Linked DNA regions of Drosophila melanogaster. The protein of the gene in region 2 interacts with the protein of the main gene of each other region in a pairwise test. Each region holds a gene or a part of one and is shown on either strand. Other genes may lie near its edges.

The links.
Region 1: the proteins of Lim3 (region 2) and CG18371 interact in a two-hybrid assay, tested with the Drosophila melanogaster proteins (2 studies listed by BioGRID).

Annotation. Positions count from the first base shown.
Region 1 is NT_033778.4:14,026,834-14,029,780, reverse strand, and holds CG18371 (uncharacterized protein), read right to left. Parts: upstream 1,162-2,947; 5' UTR 1,048-1,161; coding exon 715-1,047; 3' UTR 685-714; downstream 1-684.
Region 2 is NT_033779.5:19,105,149-19,110,082, forward strand, and holds the start of Lim3 (Lim3), read right to left. Parts: upstream 3,280-4,934; 5' UTR 2,239-3,279; intron 1,128-2,238; exon of another isoform or gene 1,018-1,127; 5' UTR 924-1,017; coding exon 575-923; intron 1-574.

The DNA.
Region 1 (2,947 bases), on a different chromosome or scaffold from region 2:
ATCTTAACTTCCTATGCAATAAATGCATTCGTTGAATAGACAGCGGATTACGTACATATATGTATACGTATAATTCATATATATATATCTACCGTTATTCTCATAACAGATAACATTTACCCAAAAATGCATTTCAAGGCATTTCCTTCCGCCTTGAGAAGTCACGACTTACTAGATTTTCACCTTCAATCAAATAGTCAATCTGTTCTTGTTCAGCGCACTGCGATAAATATTTGTGGCTCTCTGTTGTTATTCTAGATTTTCCTTATAGCCAGTATTGTCTGTTGCCTGTTGGCTGCTGTTTGTGTGCCGTAAAAACTCATTGCCAGTTTGGGGCGTCGCTCAACTGGAAATGTGGCCAAGCCGAGGCTAAAACTGAAGCTGAAGCTGAAGCTGCAGGTGTCTGTCTAACCAAGTCATCTCACATATATATATATATACATATGTACATATATTTACTTTGTAGATACATATATTAAAATAAGTACATAGTGGATGTGCCAGCCTCCATGTAATTGCGCTGAGCATTTCTTTGTGCGGCTTAATTAGTGGCTGGCAGCAGCCTGTTTTTCATTTTAGAGGTTTATAAATGATGCTCGCAGAAGCACAACTGGGCTCCATTCGTAGGCAGCTCAATTTAAAGGTCCAAACAAATAGTTACAGCAAATACACAGTTCCAATTTTCGGTAGTAGACTACAAGTCTAAATTCTTTATTAAATGGCCTTTTTCGTTGCTGCCACATTGTGGTAGCGAATCGAGAATCGGCTAAAGTTGTGCGAAGTGATCTCCTTGGTGGGCGTGAATTCCGCCCGCTCGATAATCGAGCGCGGACTGCCGATATTCAGTAGCCAGAACTTCAGCACGTTGACCTTGGGCAGTGTGCCCTCCAGCTGTCCCTTCACCGTGCCCTCGTCCGTGTTCATCACCCACCCGCGCACCTGGTTCATTGTGGCCAGATCTCGTGTCTGCTTCCGCAAACACACACCCTGTACTCGCCCGAAGAGTTCGAATCCGCAGGAGAAGATCTGTTCCGCTGGCTGCATCATCTTCAATATGCTTCGTTTTTTCTAGAAATAACTCCAACTTATTGTCGATCGAGAGAGAGATAGAAACAGAAACTCCACTTGTTGAAATTTAGTTGATTTTTGTCAGTGTTCGTTACAGGAATGTCGCAAGCTCCTAGATTCCCTTAAGCAGTTAAGTGTTTCCTTTCGGAATGTGCGCTCTGCAGCACAGTGAAACCCAAATAATGTTAACACAAGCAAAACTTGCTAAAATTAAATGTTAAACTACTGGGTGTCAATGATATCGCCATTATGTGCTTAAATTAAAATCGACGAAAGAAATAGGGAGTTTACGTTGGAAAAAGGAGCAGTGTATCGGCGAGAGCGCTAATGACATTGTATCTATTGTATATCCATAGCGTATAGCGTATCCCATATCAGCACTGGGGACTCATAAATCACTTGCCACACTCATTCGCACACACGCACACATTCACATGCGACGCCAAGTTCATCTCATGGCAATCCAATCAACTGGCAATGCCACAAAAGTTTGCAACCACCAAACCAGAGCCGAAACCCTCCCCCCCCCTTGTTCCTCTTGCCAGCAAGCCTCCTTCCTTCCCCCTTCCCCCTTCCCCTTCCCCTATGGCCCATGGACACATGAACACCCCCCTCGAAAATGGCAAAACACCACCTATGGGCAGCGCGAACAATAACTAGCGAGATAAACAGACAACATTCGGCGTTAATGCAAACGCGAAACGCCGACATCGCAGGCGATACTAAGGCAAATATTTAATACGATATTTATGGCCTAGGCACAGGATCAAGTGCAAGCGGGATGGGTAGACAGAAAGAGACCAAAAGGGAGAGCATGGGGAAATGAGGTCCTTTGAGCCAAGGTATTTGCAAAAGATGCCTGTGATAAATGACTACAGTTACAAGTACTCGTCCGACAGCTTCCAGAAATTGGTTTCCCGATGACTACATAAATTATACTTTTTCACAATTATGTCTAAGGTTTGTAAGGAAGACTATTAAATATTAACGATACGATATATTCTCTAGAAATTAACTGCTTTTCATTCTTCCACCCTGACGTTAGCGTGCAACCGAAAAGATTTTCCCCCTTTACCATCTACATTTTAAGAAACCAAACGTGTACGTATGTTGAAATGGCCCTAAAGCTGTCAATTTGGTTAAGCGAATTTAAAAGTTTTCGCAAAGTGGAACCAAAGGCTTCCAATTTGGCCGGCACACTGTGGCCAATCCAACTCGAACTCCGTTCGTCGTGTGCCCATTCAAATGAAACACAGCACGAGCCTCGGGTTCGTTTCGAGTTTCAGGTTGGATTTCAGGTTGAGACCGCCACCGACGTCTCCATCGAATTCGCAGTTCCGTCGCTGCCTCCGTCGACGTCCGTTCGATACTGTTGTTGTTGCTGCTGCTGCTGTTGTTGTTGTTGCCGTCGAGCCGAAGGTGAGCAAGCCAAATCAAACAAACCGAAGCGCAGCAAAAAAAAAAGTACGTTGAAACGCTTGAAGGGACTTCGCATGCCTCGCCGTTGGAGCTACGAACGAACGGGTATATATGTTTGTATGTACATGTAGGCATAAGTATAGGTATCGGTATATCTATAGATACTATAGCTCATGCTGTTGCTGCCAGAAACTGCGCTTCAATTGCGACAGCAGCAACAACAACAACAACAGCAAGTCGGTAAACAAAACTCAGCTTCTCCGAAGGCAAACTGCGTGAAGTGGGAGAAAGAGAGCCACCAGCAGCTAAGAGAGAAATTGTGAGAAATTGAGTGATCTTGCAGAACGGATAAACACCAGATAAGCAAGGCTAACAGGGAAAATTCAACTGCACTTAATCACTGATATCAACAAAGGGGGTTTCTTTAAAGATCAATTTTGTATATAAATATATATATATA
Region 2 (4,934 bases):
ATGTGGAGATGTGGAGATGTGAAGATGGTGGTCTGCCACCGGGAAAGCTTTCGTATTTAATTGAAAAACACTTAAGCCCCAGTTCGGAGGAGCCAAAGCCAAAGCCAGGCCAACCGCAAGGCTCTTATGTGACCCTAAAAGACCGACCTCATAACCCCAACTCATCTTCATCACAAGACCTTTCTGGTCGCTCATAAAAACAAAGGGCGAGCGCAAACAAAAACTTTGCATAATTAAGGCGCGGCCAACACATGGGCAAAGTGTATTCAAAGGGTTAACTTACAGCAGAAGTGAAATATACGGTTTTAACATGAAAACTGTATTCTCAATATTTACTAAAGCAAAATTAAGAAACCACGATATTTTTTAATGTAAATACGACTATTCTCTCTTTCATTTCAAAAATTGATAAATTGATAAATAAAATTCAAAAATGTAATCTAAGTTTGAAAACCAAACATTTTAATAATATACTATTCTTGGCAAACATTTTTGTTCACTGTGCAGGAAAATCTCCTAGGCAGCCTTCAGATGGACAGGACTGAATCAAAGATGGCATGACTTGGCCACTTACCCTCGAGCGCCCGGTTCCTGGAAATTAAGGCGAGCACCAGTTCGGGATTTGGGTCATCCTGGTCGACAGCCAGGTGATTGTGGTGCGGATGTTGCTGCTGCTGTTGCTGCCCACCGACCAGGTGAGATGCCTGCGGCGTGGGTGGCAATTGTTGCTGCTGCTGCTGCTGCTGATGGATATGCGGCTGATGTTGCTGGTGATTATCCATGGCTGACAGGTGCTGTTGCTGCTGCAACGGATGTTGCAGCTGCTGATGCGGATGTGGCTGCTGCTGAGGCGGATGCTGGAGCTGGTGCTGATGCTGGTGGTGATGATGTAGCGGTGGCGGTGGTTTCAGGGTTTGCATCATTGCTGAGGGGCCGGCGATTTGAACACGCGTCGTATGAGTTATATGTATATTTCAGTTAGCTTATTCCAATTGGCACACGTTTGTATCTTTAGCCCTGTTTGGTGTTTAAAAAGCAATCTTTGTGTTAGTTTACCGCACTCGTTTCCCGTTTAGCGTCTAAACGAGACTCCGCTAGGCGGGATCGCTGTCTGCTCGATAACTGGCATTGGTTTGTGCCCAACAGTGGCCCGGTTGACTGTTTTTCCCTTATCGCGGCGGTCTCTTTGGGTTTCGGTTTCTACGGTAGAATCTAGATTCCAGTCTTGCCACTCGGTTGGGCTCGTGCTCAGTGCTCGGCTGCTCTATCAGTTGAAGTAGCCAGGGACTTGAACAATTTGAATTTGTTTGCGATACCGGGGCACACTAGACCATCTATTGTTCGGGTGCTTTCGACCAAGTGCAAGGCGGGTAAACTTTATGTAAGCCGAGGATAGGGCCAAACTGATCGGTAGATATTCAAAAGACCGTTTGGCGCATATCTATTCATCGTCTATCACGAGGAGAATTCTCGTGCGAAGACAACAAATCGGATGTGCACTATACTATCTATCAAAAAACGGTCAATGTCCAAGGTTTTTTTATCAAAAACGAACTGCTAATGGTTCCCAAATCAAACAAAATAGTTAAAAAAAATTTTTGTGAAATATTATAACGTAGAATATTTGATAGCAAATATCCATTTAATAGTTTATCAGTATTTGAAAACTAGTTAAGATTGAAGATAATTTATTTTATAGAAATTCAAACAAACAAAATAGGTAAACAATTTATTTTTTGTGAAATATTAAAACGTAGAATAATTAATCGGAAATTTCCATTTAATAGTTCTTCAGTATTTGGAAACTAGTTAAGATTGAAGATCATATATAAATGAAACAAAATACTATGAAATTTATTTTATAGAAATTTAATTTTAGGAGCAAAGCTCCTAAGATTAAATTGAAATTAAAATGGCTAACATCGGGAGTTGGAAATCGCACATTAATCTTATTTTGATTGCCTTAAATCTTAAAACAAACAAAATCCAATCGTGTTAGTATTAAAATTCATATACTAAACATTTTAAAATCCTAAACGTATCTTGGTTTTGTAACTCTTCTCAACACAATTTGCTCAATAGACTTTTTTGTTTTAAGGATCTACTGTTAAAATGTAACATTCCATTTTTTAATCAAGCTGGCTTTCTTTTCAATAGTTCCTCAGAATTTTAGCCTTTTTATTGAGCCTTTCGTTATGCGACGGAATCGTAAAACCAGTGGAAATGATTTGCATTTACCCTATTAAAATTTTTTGCGTCACTTTAACACTCAACTCTAGTATTTGTTAACTTTGTTAATTATTGGCTGGTTTTTAATTTTCTTATTTCAACATTTCGTATTATTTCGTTTGAATTTTCTGCGGCACTTGAACGCGATTTTATGCGAACGCCATTTTGGCGACGGCATCGGCAACTTTAACGGTAACGGTAACGGATTCGGCAGCGAAAACGACGACGGCAAATGCGAAGCCAGTGCGACAAAATGGCGGCGGCATGGCTAACGGTGTTTGCCCAACGGTAAGGTAACGGTCTGGAAACGGTAACGGTGTCGGTAACGGTACGGCGGCAACCCTGGACGCGGCAACACTGGCAGGCGGCTGGTATTGTTGCTGGTGGGAATCCCCTCTATTTGCCGCGCTGCATCTTTATTTATTTTCTTGGCCGTCCAAACTGTCGTCTCTCCTTTTTACTTTGCGCACTTTTTCACGCTTTTTCTCGACTGTGCGAGCTTTTAACGCTGTTGTTTTTTTTTTTTTTTTTTTTTGTTTTTTGCCTTTCGTCTTGTATTCGTGTGCCGTTTGCCGTTTGCCTTTTGGCCGCCCACATGGGTACGCCGTGCGTATACGTACTATCTGTGGGTGTGTGCGGGTGTGCGGGCGTGTGTTTACCAATTGATCCTAATGTGACACAAATGATATGGTAAAATGCATACAGCCAGCCCTGAATGGCAGGACAACAATGGCAACAAGGCGGCGAGGCGACAACGCCAGCAGCGACAACATTTTTGTGCTTCTTTTTGGAGGCCGTGCGCATGTGTGTGTCGCTCTCTGGCGATGCCCATTTGCCCGAAAAGTCCAAATTCCAAGAGCATTACAATATTTGTAAAACGCAAAAACTTTAGCCTCGTCGAAAAAAGAAGGTGTGGAAACTTTTTTTTGTTTCCCTCTGCCTCAAGAAGCTTGAGCTGCAAAAGTGCAGGGGCAAAAAAAAAATGAAAAAAGGAAAACAGCACAGTGGGTAGAACAAAAAGCCAACCAACGTCGAGCGCGACACCTTCGTTGGCCCCAAAACAACAGTAAACAGCACTTAAAAGTCAGCAGCGACGTCGACTGAGGCGAAACAAATATGAGAAACTTAACTCAAAGGTCCAAGTCAATACGCGGCGCGCGGTCACCAAAAATGCGGGGTCTCCACTGGAAAACAGGCACCGCCCCTTTATATTGAAAATCGCTGGAAATCGGCCGACGATAGAGTCCAAAAGCAACAAGAACTTCCAGGCATGCGCAGGCAGTGGCCATTATCTTATCGCCCCAGCGTCGCCATTAAAATGGGGCTGGGGTGGCCATACGCTTCTATTCCTAGAGTTCGATGTCGTTCCAGCGCCGGCGCACTCGAAAACCCAAAGCTGGCAGGGTGATGGGAGAGGGGGGAAGTTGCTACTCCATGCCCGAGTCACCCGTTGCCCATGAGTTCGCTGTATCTGCATAGGATTCTCGCTGTCTGTGTAGTTTCGGAACCCCTATATCTATAGTGGATACTTGCCACCCGTCCCGAAAACCCCTTAAATGCGTTGCGTCTGCAAAAACGATTTTGTTTTCGCATTTATTTATGAGCCGCTTAGAGCGCGCCAAATACTTTGCCAAACACTTTGAACCCCAACGCCATGCTCGAGAACCCCACGCCCCCGCTCCCAACGGATGACCTCCGCCCACCCACCGAAGTGGACACTAGCAGGGAAGGTCGTTTGTGGGTTGGGTTCCGCGCTGCGGCGGAGCAAGGAACGCGAACAGCTGGAGTGCGTGGGTCGCTCGAAAAGTATGCCCGGTCTGAGAAAGTCTGCATAAAATGCCAGATACAAAGTACGTATAAATATTAGAAAAAAACATGATTCCATCTTATGCTGTAAAATGTATTACTTCATACTTATACTAAGACTTTTGTATCATCATCATTTACAGCTTGCCTGTAATATATATTGGATACTATTACACAGAAGCTAAACTATAAACTGTATAAACTATATTACATATTTCCTTTATTAAACATTCAGCATTTTCTTATTGGGCTTTCGTTACGCGTGCGGAACAACACGAAAACACGGCATACCCTTGAACCCAACTAGTACCGATTATAAAAAAATATAGGGTAAGAGCATAAAAATGCAGCGTGACCCTGAAACTGAAACTGATCGTGAATGGAAATGGAAATGGAAATGGCTGATGAAACCGATGCACTCAATCCAACGCGATCCCAATCTATGGCATCCCAGGCGGAGCTTCACTTCCGCGGTTACCAAATCGACTTTGACTTTCAAATTTTCCAACGCTTTTGTCGCAGACGTCTGTCTAATGGAGCCGTTAATGGTTAGACACATGAAGTATTTTGCCAAATGGGCTCGACTTGGGACGGTTAATTGCTGATGATGTGATGATATGGAACCGGATCGGCAGTGGGTTTTGGGGGGGATGGCGGAGATTTAGTAAGCAGCAGTGCTAGTGTTTGGATAACACATTTTAATAGACAATTAACAAGCAGTTTGTTTAAATTTTCTTCACCGACATTTTTAACTTTTGTCCGGCGATCTTGTTTTCGCTATTGTGTCTTTTGGTAGTTACATAAACATAAATCTCGGCAATGGGCCAGTCAGAAAGACAAAAAACTTGCTGCCACTGCACATTTTCACACATAGCCGGATTTTTGTTAACGTTGTTGGA